Drosophila melanogaster: one gene and its partners. The protein of the gene in region 1 purifies or fractionates together with the protein of each later gene. This does not show direct contact. Each region holds a gene or a part of one and is shown in the gene's direction. Other genes may lie near its edges.

Evidence for each region.
Region 2: the proteins of Tti1 (region 1) and CG18428 purify together in Drosophila melanogaster (affinity purification with mass spectrometry, with the first as the bait; one large-scale study listed by BioGRID). This does not show direct contact.
Region 3: the proteins of Tti1 (region 1) and spag purify together in Drosophila melanogaster (affinity purification with mass spectrometry, with the first as the bait; one large-scale study listed by BioGRID). This does not show direct contact.
Region 4: the proteins of Tti1 (region 1) and Wdr92 purify together in Drosophila melanogaster (affinity purification with mass spectrometry, with the first as the bait; one large-scale study listed by BioGRID). This does not show direct contact.

What each region holds. Positions count from the first base shown.
Region 1 is NT_033777.3:9,750,552-9,756,704, reverse strand, and holds Tti1 (Telo2 interacting protein 1), read left to right. Parts: upstream 1-2,018; 5' UTR 2,019-2,123; coding exon 2,124-2,308; intron 2,309-2,366; coding exon 2,367-2,865; intron 2,866-2,924; coding exon 2,925-4,025; intron 4,026-4,074; coding exon 4,075-5,150; intron 5,151-5,207; coding exon 5,208-5,589; 3' UTR 5,590-5,617; downstream 5,618-6,153. Other genes in the region: Rpt3R (regulatory particle triple-A ATPase 3-related), read left to right, coding at 542-1,085, 1,134-1,807.
Region 2 is NT_033777.3:24,107,368-24,110,514, forward strand, and holds CG18428 (uncharacterized protein), read left to right. Parts: upstream 1-1,968; 5' UTR 1,969-2,028; coding exon 2,029-2,221; exon of another isoform or gene 2,222-2,288; coding exon 2,289-2,530; 3' UTR 2,531-2,643; downstream 2,644-3,147. Other genes in the region: eIF4EHP (eukaryotic translation initiation factor 4E homologous protein), read right to left, coding at 1,103-1,140; CG10694 (uncharacterized protein), read left to right, coding at 82-954; CG13605 (uncharacterized protein), read right to left, coding at 2,674-2,907, 2,966-3,147.
Region 3 is NT_033778.4:24,157,445-24,162,014, forward strand, and holds spag (spaghetti), read left to right. Parts: upstream 1-1,939; 5' UTR 1,940-2,026; coding exon 2,027-2,182; intron 2,183-2,235; coding exon 2,236-2,513; intron 2,514-2,572; coding exon 2,573-2,781; intron 2,782-2,843; coding exon 2,844-3,427; intron 3,428-3,484; coding exon 3,485-3,770; intron 3,771-3,834; coding exon 3,835-3,926; 3' UTR 3,927-4,059; downstream 4,060-4,570. Other genes in the region: speck, read left to right, coding at 1-104; CG42568 (uncharacterized protein), read right to left, coding at 337-669; DnaJ-60 (DnaJ-like-60), read right to left, coding at 918-1,086, 1,148-1,476, 1,530-1,641, 1,701-1,744.
Region 4 is NT_037436.4:17,906,197-17,910,219, forward strand, and holds Wdr92 (WD repeat domain 92), read left to right. Parts: upstream 1-1,946; 5' UTR 1,947-2,057; coding exon 2,058-2,332; intron 2,333-2,388; coding exon 2,389-3,241; 3' UTR 3,242-3,487; downstream 3,488-4,023. Other genes in the region: CG5290 (uncharacterized protein), read right to left, coding at 3,553-4,023.

The sequences.
Region 1 (6,153 bases):
GCCGGCGTTGCACAATGTCGATATCTAGCCACCTTTCTTTGACTAAGTGTTTGAATGTCTCACAAAAAGTGTCAATGCCTAGGCATATATATTTTTCCTATGCCGAAGAGAATTTGTGGTTCCAAAATAAACCAAAATAGATATATAAATAGATCGCTCCACGTCGGAGGCAGAAAAGCAAGCACAACAAAAACAAATCCAAGAAAAACAACAGGTCGGTTCAACAGCTGATTGCCATTCACGTGGCGACGCGAAAAGTTTCGAAGGAGCGTTAAAAATCATTTTAGAAATTGTATAATTTTTATATATCGATCGGGCTTAATCAACATAGTTTGAAAATACAATATATCATAACTTCGCATTCAATAAGTATTAAATAATTGTTTCTGGTTACGCTCATGTATTGAAGCTTTTTTAGTATTGCCATTCTTATCCTGTTAACAGTTATCGATATTTTTTTTACGATAACCTGCTTTAGCCTTTGAAAATTCGTGTCATTGCCTTTCACTTCGAATCGAATCTCCACAGGGATAAGACGAAAATGCGTTTGTTAAAGGAGGAAATTGCCCAGTTTCACGAGCAGTCGCTGGAGAAGTATGATGGACTGGATCCGCATGATCTGTATGTACTATATAAGAAGCTTCAGATGGAGCTGGAGCTCATCCAGGTGCAGGAGGATTATATCAAGGAGGAGCAACGCAATCTGAAGAAGGAGTTCATACACGCTCAGGAGGAAGTTAAGCGCATAAAAGCCGTGCCTCTGGTCATTGGCCAGTTTCTGGAGGCGGTGGATGAAAACAACGGCATAGTGGCCTCCACCACCGGATCCAATTACTATGTTCGAGTGCTATCCACCATTGACAGGGAGCAACTGAAGCCGTCCTCTTCGGTTGGGCTGCACAAGCAAAGCAATTGTCTGGTCGATCTGGTGCCACCGGAGGCGGACAGCACCATATCGATGCTATCGCCGGATGAGAAACCGGATATCAGCTACTCCGACATTGGAGGCTTGGACATCCAGAAACAGGAGATACGCGAGGCTGTCGAGCTGCCCTTGACCCACGCCCAGCTTTACAAGCAAATTGGTGGGTATTCGCAATATCAAAAGACTATTTCCACTAATTCTCTTCCAGGCATCGATCCCCCACGCGGCGTCCTCCTTTTTGGACCACCTGGATGTGGCAAAACCATGCTGGCCAAGGCGGTGGCCCATCATACAACTGCATCATTTATTCGTGTCGTGGGCTCCGAGTTCGTCCAGAAATACCTAGGCGAGGGGCCACGCATGGTGCGAGATCTTTTCCGCCTGGCCAAGCAGAATTCTCCTTCAATTATCTTCATTGATGAGATCGATGCGATTGCCACCAAGCGCTTTGATGCACAGACAGGTGCTGATCGCGAGGTGCAGCGCATCCTGCTGGAGCTACTCAACCAAATGGATGGCTTTGATGAGACCACCAACATTAAGGTTATCATGGCCACCAATCGTGCAGATACCTTAGATCCGGCTCTGTTACGACCCGGCCGTTTGGATCGGAAAATTGAGTTACCATTGCCGGATCGTCGCCAGAAGCGCTTAGTTTTCACCACAATCACCTCGAAAATGAATGTGGGTGAGGATGTGGATCTGGAGGACATCATTGCACGTCCGGACAAGATCTCCAATGCGGATATCAATGCCATTTGCCAAGAGGCTGGTATGCATGCAGTGCGCGAGAATCGCTATGTGGTCAATGCCAAGGACTTCGAAAAGGGTTATAAGACCAGCGTGCGCAAGGACGAAGCTCAGCATGAGTTCTATAGCTAGATGATTAATTTCAAATACAATCTGAATATGTAAACTTGTAGTATTTAACAAAGCCAATCCCGAGTTTACCAAAATCCTGAAACTTCGAAATATATTAGTCAATACTGGTGCTTTAAATAAAAGAAAATCAAAATTAAGGGCGGCTTGGCGCGCAATTCAAAATAACCGATAGACTTCGATAGCGATTGTGGGTGGCGGGGGTGAAAACGCGCGCGTTTGCATGTGACTGTCGGAACAGCTGTTGGTTCAAAACTTCTTCCCGGATTTTGCCGGGTTTCGCTTTGGGTTTATTTGGTTAGTGAATACTGCTGCCACGATGATGCATCTAGAGTGGTATGTGACGAAGATAAAGCCAGCGGTGGAAGGCTTCATCAAGGAGCCCAGCAAGGACACGTTGTCGGTGGTGGAGCGCGCAATCGAGGGATTCAACTTTGGAGAAATGCGCATTTACCAGGTGCAAACGGTGGTGCCACTGGTGGTCAAACTGGATGAGCTAACCGGGTAAGTGGCTCCGCTCCGCTTGGGTTTTCGACTTCAGAGAAGACTGTCTCTTCCGCAGAGAAAACCAGGAACTTCGCACCAGCCTGATGAACTGCTTAAGCAACATTGTCTCCAAAACATACCTGGCCGATGAGAAGGGTCTGCGTTCCATCCTGGTGGTGGTGCTGCAACAGGTACGCGACTCCAAGACAGCGTCCATGCGACCAAACCTTTCCGAGGAAATCAAACTGGCAGCCGTTCAGTGTATATTCGAGGCACTTCGTCGCTCCACCACTGATGTGGTGGAATCTTTCTACGTTAAGGAGACTGCGATGGTTATTGGCCAGATACTGATCATGCTCTTGGAAATCATCGAACAGGAAAAGTATCGAAAACTCGTACAGACAGCCATTCAGTGTCTGATGATGGTTTTCTATGTCCATGACGAATCCGATCAAGTGGATGTTGTCCTGCGTAGTCAGGTAGCCAATACCATATTTATATTCCTTCCCAAGGTACTCATCGTGCTGTTCAAAACATCAATGAAAGATGACAAGGTGGGAGAGACTATAAAATCGGTGAGTTTTTCGATGGTTTTGTATAACTTCATTTATATTGATTTAAATATTATAATTAGATGGCAATTCAAGCGCTGGGACGCATTATTTGCATAATGTTTGAGGAGACCACTAATGAGTTTATAAAAATGCGCTACGATGGAGATGCCTTCCGCAAACTGTTCAAAAACAACGAAGAGGCTCATCAATGCGATTTCACCTTTTTTGCCAGCAAGAAGGCTACTACAGAACAGAATGAGGAGCGATTGCATCAAATGCAAACGGAGCTTCGTTCGCATCAGTGGGTGGCCGCCACTTCGAGGCACCTTCGACCAATATTTGCCGAAATGAGTATTCTACGGACTCACAGCGCAATACGGGTAAGGGAATCCTACTCCGATATGTGTTGCCTGTTGCTAAAACATTGTGCTTACAATCTGAGGGGAAACTTTCTCCATGTACTAGAGAGCGTATTGGCTCTGTCAGAGGACGAGAATGAGAAGATAGCCCAGCGGTGCAGGGACACCCTACTTCTGCTGCAACAACAGGCCAGCAGCCAAGACATATTCGATGAGAATGCGGAGATGCTGCTAGATGCACACCTCAATAAATGGCCACGCATACTGCATCGCTGCGAGGACAACGAACAGTTTGCCGAGCTTCTGTTCTTCAAAGGATTCCTACGCAACGTCAACACCGATAAATTGCAGCTATTGCTGCTAGTTCCCAAAAATCTGGAGATGTTCGTCACTTGTCTGTTGACAGCACTAGATCAACGGCCAACCAGGGACCTTCTCAACGAGGAATACTCACTTCGACGTATTCGAGAAGGTGATTCCAAAGGTCTGGCCGCCGAACTGGCCAAACTGCCTTGGAGGCAGTTCAAGTATCTAAGCTCAAGGCGTACAGTTGATATCCTATATGACATTGGAGCCCTGTTGGGTACTGAGCCAACAATAAATCGACTTGTATTTGATTACTGTCAGGAGATGATTCAGCAAAGGTCACCATCCATGAACGAGTGTGTGCTGCTTCTAACACTGATGGTAACGCCGCAGGAGAAGAAGGCGCGGGGAAGTCGACTGGTGCTGGCTAAACTTTTCTTGGACCAGATCCTTCGAGACGAGCATTGGAACCTGGCCCTTCAGCCGGACTCGGCGTGGCGCCTTAAGGTCAACAAGGTGAGAATGGATTTTATATGTGTACAATGTGTACTATAATTTTTTTTAGCCCACGCATTGGTTTGAGGACCGTACTCCTGGCATCTATTCATCGGCGATTGAGGTACGCACCCAGGACTGCGATTCTGATGACGAGCAGACGGAGGTGGTCGGTAGTCGGGTGACCATTGCAGACGCCCAGTTTAATGTTCTGCACACCTGCCTAATTTTGGATGCAGTGGGTCACTGTGCCAGATTTATTGGTGATACCTTCGACAGGCATATATTTTTAAGTCTACACAAAGTGCTTCTCAAGGTGGCTAGCAGTAACACTATCGTCCATCAAGCGGCCAGTTTCGCCTTCGTTTCCATGCAGTACGCTCTTAAATATGCGGAGCCCTCACATTTTATCGAATGCTCCACCGACTACATCACTTTTCACCTAAACGCGTTGCTAAAACGATCGCCAGATAGCACGGCCGCCGTGGACATCCTCACCGTCGTGTTGCAGTACAGCACACGCGGCAATGTGCCCCACCTGGACAGCTTATTCCAAACTATACGCGAAGAGTGCTCCAAATCACACCAGACAACCAACGTGCACTCTTATCTTCGCGTCTTCAAATCATTCCTGAATCATGTTTCCGATTGGCATGATGATGCTGCGGCGGAGGTTGATACCGAGCTGCCGATGCAAGTGGATGAGGAGCAGAATGTCCTAAGCACGTGGATGAGTGTGCTGGAGAGGCCAAAGTTATTGAAAGATCTGAATGGCGACACCAACATGGGCGACGCCGAGGAGCCGGCAAAGGATGAAGCCGACGATGCGGATGACACGGAAGAGAAACCCACGAAGCCCGTGCTTCCGCGCCACGTGGAAATGGTTAAGGATATACTAGGTCAAGTAATCAAGTTCATTTCCACCGCCGATCAGGGGCAGCAGATTGCAGCTTTGGAATGTTTCTCCAGTGGTCTGCCATTACTGGCGGACTACGAGGACGAGCTGCTGCCATTAGTGCATCTAGTGTGGCAACCTCTGATCGAAAAATTCCGCCAAAAGGACGCATTGGTGCTAAACCGATGCTTCACCCTGCTGCACTTGCTAGGCGTTCATGCCAAGGACTTTATACTTAAACGCAGCCTTAGGTAAGTCACTGTTTCGAGGATAACTAGATCTTTTTACCCTATCCTTGTGCTTTTCAGTGATGTGATACCCCAGTTAAAGCAGTTCCTGAAGACAGCATCCCTGCACAGCAGCACGGAGACCTCGCAAGCGCAGACTCAGGAGTACAAACTGCAGCTTAAGCTGCTGAAGAGCCTCGCGGACTTTATACTCGGTCTTCAGATAGAGGGAAGACATCTGCACGAGATCATGAGCACGGTGGTAATATACCTATCACAAATACAGCCGCAAGAGCTACAGACGCCGGCCAGAGCGTTCTTCCTCCAGCTTATTTCTTACAATGGACCCTTCGTATACGTTACGCTGTTGCAGCGGGCCCATCTTCAGGATTATCAGGCTAATGTTAACCAGATCTTCGAGGTCATGGGCTTTAGCATAGCTAGTGGACGAGATCTTGGTTAATAAAGAACGGACCGATTTTTTATTTCACAATTGCTCTATTCTGATTTCTGTTCACTCGATTAACATTACAGGCTCTTAAGCTAGGTGTCTTTTAATGCAGTTTCGAATATTTTGATCAGAACTGTTTTGTTTGTGCCCGGAGAGTAGGCAATAGTTATTGGATTAAAAAAATGTATGGGATTATTATTGAGGTATCTAACTTGAATAGTTTTATTGAAATGACTTTTATAAAATATAAACAAGGCAAGGTTTTTGAACAAAACTGGGGTTTTATACACAAATAAAGCGTTCGGAACAAACAAAATTGATGAAAAATTGTATATATGTAATCGTATATTATGTTTTGGTAGCCATAACTAAATGCTATGCATAAACAAACATTTTCTTTCAATTTTTACTTACAAGTGGAACCCCAGATGCTTGGCACCGATAAAACTTAGCATCCGACTTCTAAAGCCACAATACACTATAACATTTCGTTCTGTATCAAATATAGCTGAATTTATAAAATGATTGCTGTTCTGTATTTGTGATCTTGATCCTTTCCCCGTCCTCCACTCGTCC
Region 2 (3,147 bases), about 14 Mb from region 1:
CACCAAATGACACAACCGCCGCACTTTCACATAACTATCACAAATTCTCGCAGCCAAATTAAGTTTAACAAAACAAAAACGATGAAGCTGTCTATACGCATGCTGGACCAACGCACCATCACTTTGGAGATGAACGAATCGCAGGAGGTGAGGGCTCTGAAGCAGAAATTGGGCAATTTACCCGAAGTCGCCATGCCCGCGGAGAACCTTCAGCTGATATACAGTGGCCGCATTATGGAGGATGCCATGCCCCTCAGTGAATATCGTATAGCCGAGGACAAGATCATTGTGTTGATGGGTAAGAAGAAGGTTGATAAGAGCTCGCCAGAGGAGAAGGTTGCCCCGACACCACCGTTGGCCGCTGGCCCAAATGTTTTGCGCACAGAGGATGTGGTGCCTTCACTAGCTCCCAATGATCAGTGGGTGAGCGATCTCATGTCAATGGGATATGGCGAAGAGGAGGTACGCTCAGCCCTCCGGGCGAGCTTTAATCATCCGGAAAGGGCTATAGAGTATTTGATTAATGGGATTCCTCAGGAGGTTGTTTCAGAGCAGGGATTAGCTGCAATCCCGAGCGTACAGACAAGTGATCAATTGCAGCAATTAATGGCAGATCTTAACATTACACGGATGCGTGAGATGATTAATCAGAATCCAGAACTAATACACAGACTAATGAACAGACTGGCTGAAACCGATCCGGCTACCTTCGAAGTCTTTCAGCGTAACCAGGAGGAGTTAATGAACATGATTTCAGGCGGCGCAAGTCGCACCCCGAACGAGATTGAACATTTACAGATTACTTTAACCGCCGAAGAAACCGCCGCCGTAGGGCGTTTGGAGGCACTGGGTTTCGAACGTGTGATGGCCGTTCAGGCCTATCTGGCCTGCGACAAGGACGAGCAGCTGGCCGCAGAGGTACTAATACGCCAGTCAGAAGAGGATCGAGACTAATAAAGCGATTCGGAGCACGTAAATGCACCCAGAACATAACCTAACAATTTTCCAAGTAAAGATGGTGCTGGCCCAGTTTTGTTGCTGGCTGGGATTGTGGTTGTGTGTGGCAGGCGGTGCGCGTGGGTGGCGGAGGTGCTCCACTTACGTCTCGTACTGCTTGTTGGCTACTTTCTCCATGCTCATCCTGGCAATTATGATGCTGACTGGTAGCTGATACTGGTGCTCTCCTGCTGACTGCTTGGCTGTTCCTGTGGCGCTGTTCCAACCTCTGGAACGAGTACCTGTGGATCCGGGTGTTTGCACTACTAGATTCTTTATGCTGCTGCTTCTTCTGGCGCAATTCTTCTTTTGCTCCTTGGCTGCGCGTGTGTGTGTTGTGTGTGTGTGTGTGTGTGGGCAAATGGGTTTTTGGTGGATTCTCTTATGGGCGATTTTTTGGGGCAGCCGCTTTTTCGGGGAGCGGTTCGCTACGGGTCCGCCGCTCTCTCTGGTAAACAATCGTATTTCCTGTGCCTTATCCTTTCCGGTTATCAGTGGGTTTGCTTATTTTTTGGCCGTTTAGTTTTGGTTCGCTCGACTTTAGTTTGACGTTTCTTTTTGTACACAACACAACATGCGTCCGATTAAGTTCCACTTGCTATCCACATTCCACGCGGCGCTGTCAAAATCGACCAGTGCTGTAGGTCGAAGAAGAATTTTGACATTGGCCAGCACTGCACGTAGTGCAGTTACATACCCTACTGAAGTGGGTATATATGTTTCATTAATTTCATTAATTTTTCAACTCGAGTTAAATTGATTAATTTCCGTTGTTTGTTAGGGAAATTAAGTGACTCAAATACCAACATTTATTTCAACTCCAATAATTATAAAAATTTACTTTATAATGTAATCAATAATAAAATGAATAATTACATAAATAGTAAACATATATTCCAAAATATTTTTTAAGAATGCAGCAACACCGCTGACACAACATACCCCACATTTGGTTACAGGGTATCAGAGTATCGAATTTTTGCTGTCATTCTTCAAAAATCAGTTTGTTTACGTTCACCTGCAAGCCGCATAATGGGAAAAAGTGAGAAAAAATCAAAGAAAAAGCATAAGGAGAAGCGCAGGGAACACAAGGAAAAGCACAAGTCAAAGAAATCCAAGAAACACAACCGAAAAAAGGAAGAATCTCCGCCGATAGCTTCACCAACACCAATACAGCCTGAAAGGGTCAACCAGGAGGAGGAGGATGACTTTGCCATACCAATAGGTCCGTAAGAGCCCCCCTGTATATATTTATTATTGCTGAACACTCTAAACCCACCCCAAAACCCAAGCACTGATGAATAGCAAATCACATGCCCCGGAAACTCCAGAGGAATACCAGCGCCGTCAGAGCCAGATCCGCAAAGAGGTGGACCCGGTGACGGGTCGCGTCCGGCTCATCAAAGGCGACAGTGAGGTGCTGGAAGAGATTGTGACCAAAGAGCGCCACCTGGAGATCAACAAGAAGGCCACCCGCGGTGATGGAGAGTTCTACGAAGCCAGATCTCTGGACGCCGCCAAGCGTCGCAAATAGCTAATTTACCAAAAATGCAAAAATATAATAAGCTATTTCATGACTTGTAGTAATAATTAATAACTGTCAGTTTAATTAAACAAAGGGCTAGCTAGCGACTATATGTACACGCGAAATCCGTGGAAATTTCTTTGGTGGCGCAGCTAGTACAACTGATGGAAGAAGGTAGTGCTGCCGTCCTGCCAGGCGGGATCATCGCTAACCTTCGCCCTGCACATCGGACAGGTCTGTTCGCGCTTGAACCAGGTCTGGACGCACTCATCACAGAAAATGTGGCCGCACTCCAACACAGTGGGTGTGTTGAAGGCGTCATGGCAGATTGGACACAGGGCACCCGCAGCATCCAGCTCGTCTTTGGTCGGCGGCCGCTCAGAGTCCTTGAATAAATGTGTATTAGAAATGTGTACATAACAATCAAGTCTCAGGCATTCATACAATATTTTTTCTGAAGGTCACAATGGCTTTCTTTAGCGACTTGCCGCGCTCCACCAGCTCAAATATCTTGGCACCCAGGTACATTGCGGAAAAGAGTCCTCCGGAAACCACCTCCAGGCCGGAGTAGGACTCGTATAGAAATAGGAGCCACTGGGTAATGGGTGTCATTGCCCGGTAGAACT
Region 3 (4,570 bases), on another chromosome or scaffold:
AGCCTCAGGGAGAGGTGGTCTTCAAGCCGGCGGCCCCGCACGTGGGCATACAGGTGATGGCCAAGGAAGTGGGTCCCGCGAAGGCGGCGCAGACCAAGCTGTAGACGATCTGAGTTCGGATTTTGTACTATCGTATGTGATTCTTTAGTTTGTAGTTCGGTGGCGGGTTCCCAGTAGTGTATCAACGTTCGATTCAGCGTAGTGTAAACAAACAGTACAAGTTACGTATTTATCTAATTTAATCTTCCCGTCGCGACGGTAAACTTAAGTGTTTTGTGTTTAGAACGAGCTCAAAATAAAACCTTGTCTTAATAACATAACCGACTGGACAACAACTTAGCCCCTGCTGGCACGGCGGGAGTTCGACTTCCTGTTCTTGCCGGAGCGCTTGGCCTGGCTCCGTTTGGCCTGGGTCTTCTTGGCGTTCAGTTTCCGGTTGCTCCTGGTCCTGGAACTACGGCTGGTGCTGCTGGCGGTGGTGGTGCCCACACGGATCTTCCTCACAATCGAGTACGTCAAGTTGGACAGGTACACTTTCTTGGGCGTGCTGGACGAGCTGTAGGTGGGACTGGTGGAAGTGGAGGAGGAGTTCTGTGAACTGGAGAAGTCCAGGCAGCAGATCACGAGCACCACGATGCACAGGGTGCCGATTTGAATAGTTGACTTCATGTTGGTAGTAGGATTGCTTTTAATATGCTTCGATGGATGCGGCCGGAGTGCTTAAGTAGTCGCCCTGGTTGTTTGCACAGTTTGCTCAATCGCCTACGAAGGCCGACGAAATTGTTTAATTTTGGCAAAACACACTGGCGCTTAAGCAATCGCTCTTGAGTTTGCTTTGCCTTGAACCAAAACAAAATATTCAAAAATAGCTATATGCTTTCACGTTTAATTTGACCAAAGGAAATGGGGAAATGGGATTACTTAGCCGAAGACTGGTTGAAAGGACTCCGCGACATACGGTCCACCATACGACGCACTTGCTCCTCGTTGCCGTACTTCTGGGCATCGGCCACAACGGCGGCATGATGGGAATTAGCCTCTGCTGAGATTTCGTCCTGGATCTGGCGACTCAGTTTAAAGGACGACCTGTTGGGGATGGTGAAAGTTCAGTGTGACTACTTAAATTCTCTGGTTCATAATCATTAACCTGACGGAGGTGAAGCCAAAGAGTGCCCCGACGAAGCCTAGGGCCATCAGAACCACGGCCACCTGCCAGTTGGAGACCCTCTTCAGACCACGGATGCCATAGTACGGTCCTGGATTGGGATCGTAGTTGGGCCTCACATCCCACGCCTGGCCGGGATTGACCGTCTCGCCAACGGGACTGCGGTCCGAGCGCGATGGCTGCCACAGCAGGCTGTCATCGTAGTCTCTCCTCCGCTCCGGCTTTATCAGGGTCTTGTACGCCTCGGAGATCTGAACAAATCGGGCTGTGCGCTCCGGACACGCAGCATTGCTCTTAACATCTGGGTGGTACTGTGGAAAGGGCAGGGTTTAGGAGGCTCCTTTGGAATCTTGGAGTTACTTACCAATTTGGAGAGCTGGACAAAGGCATTACGGACTTCACGGGTGCTGCAATCATTGCGAATATTCAAAACTTCATAGTGTGTTTCGGGTTTTCTTGGTTTGTCGTTCGAGAAACTGCGCAATAGGCAAACATTTACTTTACATAACAAGTTTTATAGACGTAAAGTCCTTACTTACGCACATATCCAGCTCGAGTTGGAAGGCACAACCTTAGCATTGTGAGCTTTATTAGTATTATTTGTGCTGATCTGTCGGAGAAAGCATAATTTTAAACTAGGACTTTCAAAATAAAATCAAAACACAAAACAGCTGATTTGAGGGCCTTACTCTGGCAATCCTGGCTGGCCAGCTACAAAAATAGAGTTGGCAGCTCTGTTCGATGAAACAGCAACTCAGTTGAACTATCGACAGCGAGCAGTGCTGCCAGACTGTCGGAGCGCTAGCAACAGAAATAACAAACATTTAATATTTCTTTAGCCACTTGACAAGGCAAATCAATATGAGTGCACAGGAAAAAGCCTTCGAACTGCAGCGCCAGGTGCGCCAGAACGCGCGGGAGTACGAGAACTCCGTGAAGGACTTGTACTCCTGGGAGCAAGACATTAAAAACAAGGAGAAAGAGCTCCAGAAGTCGCCGCTTTCTGCCGCCAATAAGGTTAGCTTTAAATTCTTTGGTATTAACAAGTAAAGCTCACACTTTCAATGCAGGATCTGCCAGTGCGCAGTCATGTCCAGACAGACAAGTCGCGGAAGGAGAGCCCATCCTCCTCGGCGGCCAGCTCACCCACGGAGAAACAGGACTTGCCAGTGGATCCTGTGGCCCAGCAGTACAAGAAGGCCAACGACATCAAGGACCGTGGAAACACCTATGTCAAGCAGGGGGAGTACGAGAAGGCCATCGTGGCCTACTCCACTGCCATTGCCGTCTATCCCCACGATCCCATTTACCACATTAACCGGGCACTGTGCTACCTAAAACAGGAGAGGTAGGACTGTTTAGAATGTTCTCGATACTTCTTCCTTACATGCATATTTATCCTTGCAGCTTTGATCAATGCGTGGAGGACTGCGAGGCCGCCATTGCGCTGGATAAGCTCTGCGTGAAAGCTTACTACCGGCGAATGCAGGCCAACGAGTCCCTGGGCAACAACATGGAAGCCCTGAAGGATTGCACCACTGTGCTGGCCATCGAGCCGAAGAACATCGAGGCCAAGAGGAGCCTGGCCAGAATCAACGACCGTCTGCGCAAGATTGGTAAATATAATTTTGATTACCTAGTAAGCATATTTTAAGGCTTTTCATTGGCATCCTTACAGCCACCAAAAGTGGGCCAAACTTTACACCCGATCGTCCTGGCATGATTGAGATCTTGCCAATCGAGAAGCCTGCTTATAAACGCTCCAAGAAGGCAATGCGCAGTGTTCCCGTTGTAGACGTGGTATCTCCTCGTGCTACCATCGATGATAGCAACCAACTACGCATTTCGGATGAGGACATAGATAAGATATTTAATAGTAACTGCGGCATAATCGAAGAGGTCAAAAAAACAAATCCAAAGCCGACGCCAATGCCAGACACATCAGGTCCACCCAAAGCTGAGACCATTGCTAAGACCTCCAAAGAAGTCAAGCCTACCAAACAGACTGCGGTTAAAGTAGCTCCAGCTGTGGAAACCCCCAAAGAAACAGAAACACGCAAGGATACCAAGATTGTGCCTGAATCCGATAATGAGGCCAAGCCAAGTGCACCCAAAAAAACGGCTGTCGAGGTCCCCAAGGTTCAGACTCAAGTTTCTCCACCAAAGACCACAATAGAACGCAGCCCAGAAGTCAATACCGTGCAAACTGAAAAAATTGAACAAGCTTCGAGCAACAACGCAATGTCACCCAGTCCAATAGAGGTAGGTTCGCTTAAGATCAAAGCTGAATTATTATTAAACCAATTCTCTATGATTTAGCGCTTCTTACCGCCCGCACCCACGAGCACAGCACAGTTCCATGTGACCTGGAAGGAGCTGAGTGGTCCGCAGAAGTACCAATACCTAAAGTCCATTGAAGTCCCGAATCTGTGTAAGATCCTGGGAGCAGGCTTCGATTCGGACACGTTTGCCGACCTGCTGCGCACCATCCACGACTTCTTTGTACCAAATAAGGAGCCAAACACAGCAGCTGTCTTGCTGGAGATCAGCAAAAATGACGAATTCACCATTTTGGCCATGCTCATGTCCGCAGAGGAGAAGAAAAGTAGGTGACAAAACTTTTCTTGCATAATTTCGTTTGCATTTCATGTACTTTCCCCTTTTCACAGTGGTTTCGTCTATCCTCAACGCCATCAAGAACTGGCCCAGCAAGAATCCGGCTGTGCTGGACAACCTTTTCAAGGAATACGGAGTAGCCTAAACACCCAATGTTTTATGTTAAAATGTACTTATGTTGCTTCAAATTGTTAGCTCCAAAATCAACTAAAACAACAAAAATGTTTAAAATATAAAGAGGATTTGTAGATAGGATCCCAAAACGTTACACAGAATGCGAATGATTGAATGTGTTTTGTTCAGCGTTTATTAGATACGCTAAGATGCTCACTAGTTACACATGCTGGGAATATCTCAAAGTGACTCATGTTTTTTAGCCTAGTATAAGCCGAAAATTCCATATGCAGAAGACCATTTGAGCAAACAAACCGTTCTTGCCCGACCAGACCATGAATATTGAATAACCAATTGAGTAATACGAATTAGTGTAATTTACATAAATCAGCGCATTAATTCAATCTGCGAAGCCACCTAAAATGGGCCTTCCAGCAAGAACAACAACTCCATTAAGCGACGTTAAGTTGGAAGCGCTGATGATCAGTCGGCTTATCCGATCCGTGCACATATCATTACAGCGAAACCACAGCCAGGAGCACCAGGAGGGGCCCCCAAAGCAGGAGGGGCATCTCGCCGAGAACCGCGCACCACCGAGGCACCCGGGCGGCCCACTAATTGCGTGAGAGCTGGTGCACTAAGCACAGGGGCCGGGTTTTACTTTAGCCCATTGTG
Region 4 (4,023 bases), on another chromosome or scaffold:
TTATTTAAAATATAGAGATTTTTAAAACACATTAGTTGTGAAAATAAATATTAAATATTCTACATTTCAATCACATACATATAAGTTTCTGTATGTGCGCGTATACTTCCTCATATGCAAGTTAAATATAGGCGCGTGATATGAAATATTTCCCGGCACAATATGAGTGCTATCATTAATCCCTCAGTTTCCCTATTTATTACTATAGATTATTATTGCAGCTATTGCGTGCTATTAGCTGCGAAAACTTTAATCCCAAATTAGAAACAGGTGTGAAAGTGGAGGGTTTTAATCTTGAGCCCAAGGCAACGACTATTGGCAATCTTTACAGTTCACGTATAAGTGATAATGTATAAAAATAATCTGTGTAAATTACCGATTGATTGATAAGTAATTCACAAGTTTTATTCGCTTCGTTGTGGGAAAGTATAAAGCTAGAATTTTATATTTGTCAGAAAGAAAATATAATTATAGATTTATTTAAATCTGGTTCTGTATTCATAACCAATAATTTTTACAAAAAGACCAAGTCGACTGTTAAGGGGAATTTTTGTAGAAATAATTGCCTTTATAATTGTGCACTTTACGTGTTGCATAATATTTACTTTTTTTTTTTTTTCAGACCAAAAAACCAATTAGTTTCCATTCACTATTTGTTCTCCCCAGCGTGGTGGGCTTATCAACAAATCCCAATAAGTATAGGGTATTCCGAACGGGCGATGCGACAGGTTGGCAAAAAGTCGCCAAAACGGAAGAATGACATAAACATATGTACTATATACATGATGTACTATAACGCTTATATACTAAATATTATACACTATGAGTGTGTGTCAAGTGCAAGTGCACCGAAAACAACAGAGAGGGCACACAGAAACAATAAAGCCAATGAAAAAGCTGAAAAGTACACAATTAACGTGATTGTCCCCAAAATTGACGATAAATCGAAAGGCAACGGCGGAAGTAAGGAAATGTTGGGCAATACAAATGAATGTGAAAACATGCCGAGAATGGAAGAATCTTTGTGGCTTTTACCTTTGAGAAACTACATTAATTTTTAGTTGGCACTCAATTCGGTTGCCAACGAGTACAGCTGTTGCTGTAGTTGTTGTTCTTGTAGTCGTCTATACTGCCGTCGATTTGTTGGCACCTTCAACTTTTGATAGCGCCTTTGTTATTGTTGTATCACTTGTTGCCAATAAAAAATTGATTAACACTTTTCTGGCGCATGCATCGCAAATATGCTAAACTTTGAGCACTCTTTAGCGAGTTTTTGTTCTGCCAAAACGATTATCACTTATATAAAACCGGCTAAAAGGCCCGCAAATTAATAGCCAACGCTATAAGCTGCGCTTTGTTATTTCAATAATATTTATTTTCGCTTATTTAACCCCGCACGTTTAATATCTCATCGTTTTTTTTTTAATGCAGAAAAGCGTCGCTTGCGACACACGTAAAAGTGTTTCTTTGTCGTTATATATGAAGTTGTTGCTGCTGTTGCTGTTGTTGTTGCTATTGGGGGGTCGAACGCCAAAAAAAGATGCTCGCGCCAAAAACTAAATATGTGGAAAATCCGCGACAGAAGCAAAACAGCGTCCGACTGACCCAGTAAAACTGAAGAAAAAAGTATTCAACTCACAGAGTGGCGAAAGCTTTTTAAGCTTACCACCATTAACAGCTGTTCCCGATGCCTTCTAATGTATCGGCATAACTATCGTACACACACATTATTTCGTAAATTTTAAATTATTTGATTATATGAGTACAAAATGTGAACTATAGTAATGGGATATACTTTTTACAAACGTTAAGCGTTATTATTTTTTTAAATATTGCATTTTAGTGGATATGTTATAATTTATCTATTTAAAAATTAGATTTGGTATATTTCCGTCAGCTGATTGGTATATTTCAGGCGCTGCATGTACGGCTACACTGAAAAAGAGGAAGAGATAGCCATGACAACAAAACAACTTGTTTTTGATAAATCCTTAAGTTTTCACCGGCCGCTTTTGGAATATTAGCATAAAGTTGAGACGGAAATATAGATCGTTGAAATGGACAAGCCCCAGCTTATTGAGCACCTCCACGAGGCACTCAACTACACGGTGTACGATACGAAATGGGTGCCCCTTTCGGCCAAGTTTGTGATTCTGGGCTCCAAGGCCAACGGGCACGGAATCATGGACATCTACGAACTCAACCAGGATAAGCTGGTGAAAGTGAAGTCCGTAGAGAAGAAGGTTGCCTTCAAATGCGGCACCTTCGGAGCAGCTTCGCTCAGGAACCGCCACATGGCCATCGGAGATTTCGAGGGCAGGCTGCAAGTTCTGTAAGCATAATCCCGCTTAAGTCATTAGATGCTTCTCTGACATGTGTTCTTTGCAGGGATATGGAGCAGCCGGACCTTCCGGTCTACAATGTAAAGGCCCACAACGGCATCATCAACACCATCGACGCGATTGGCGGCACACAAATCGATTGCGGTGCTCCGGAAATCGTTACTGGAAGTCGTGACGGCGCCGTTAAAGTCTGGGATATCCGCCAGGGGCAGGCTCCTGTGGTGGACATGTCGCCGCCGCCGCAAATGGGCGATGGCGTTAACAACAGCAGTGGCCGCCGGGACTGCTGGGCCGTGGCCTTTGGAAATACCTACAACGCTGAGGAGCGCATCGTTGCCGCCGGCTATGATAATGGAGATCTAAAGATATTCGATTTGCGATCCCTTTCCGTACGCTGGGAGGCCACCATGAAGAATGGTATCTGTGGACTGGAGTTCGATCGCCGGGACATTCCCATGAACAAGCTAGCGGTCACCACTTTGGAGGGCGGTCTCCTTGTCTTCGATATGAGAACCCAACATCCGACCAAGGGATTTAGTTACGTGGAGGAACGCAACGCCGGACGCAGCGTGGGAACAAATGGCGTGATCAGCGGACCCAAAGCCACCGTTTGGGTAGTTCGTCATCTGCCCCAGAATCGGGATCTCTTTCTCACGGGCGGCGGAACTGGTTCCATTCGCCTGTGGCAGTACGAGTATCCCGACAGGAGGGTCATTGATGACTCTGATGGAAACAAGTTGGGAGTTGCTGGAGCCCTTAATATGCTTAGTGCAGCCACTTTGAGCTCTCAGCCGGTTCACTGCTTTGACTGGCATCCAGACAAACTGGGCCTAGCCGTCTGTGGAGCATTCGATCAAAGCGTGCGCGTTTTAATTACCACCAAACTAAACACTTTTTAGATGGTGGACATCAAAAGAAACCCATTAAAGAAATGCTTCATACTTGTGATATTGGATGATGGGTTAATTCATAGGTTTATATTTTTATGAATACACTTTCATTGCACCTATTGCTAGACAATAAATCCTTAATGCGCAATAGCTTTTAAAATCAGAAAAACTGGATAATCTGCTTGAGCTGAATTATATTACAAATCAAAACTAGCTTACAAATATATATCAGCAATAAACTATTTCATGTACAATAAAAAATGACTCTTTTTATTTGTTTTGCAATTACAAAATAGTATAAAACCTTATATAGTGTATAACTAAGATCGAGACGCATTCATTCGTTCCTGGACAATTTTTGTCAGGTCTTCGATGCGTTTTTCCAGCTGCTCCACTTTTGCAGTCTGTTCTGCCGATACATCCACATTTATGGCTCTCTTCAAAGCATTCAGACAAGATGTTCCCGCCAGTCTGGCTGAATTTAGTTGAGAGGTAATCATTACCTCACTTTCCTCTTGAATGTGCTCTGTGATGGCCGCCACTGAGAGATCGCAGACCTCTAAACAAAGATCTAGGGCTTTTAAAGCGTGCTCCGACTTGGTTTCCCAGCCCAAATGCTTCGGTGTGTACGCACGATACGATTTTACCAGTTTCTCGGCCTTCTTCAGTGGCGTTTGGGCCACCAAGGCGGCCAGTTCCCACACAAGAGGCTCGTTACCATGTTGAATGCTCTGCTGTCCCAGAAGCTTTATGAGTCTTTTGATCAGAGCACTTGAGCCGGCGGGGTCCTC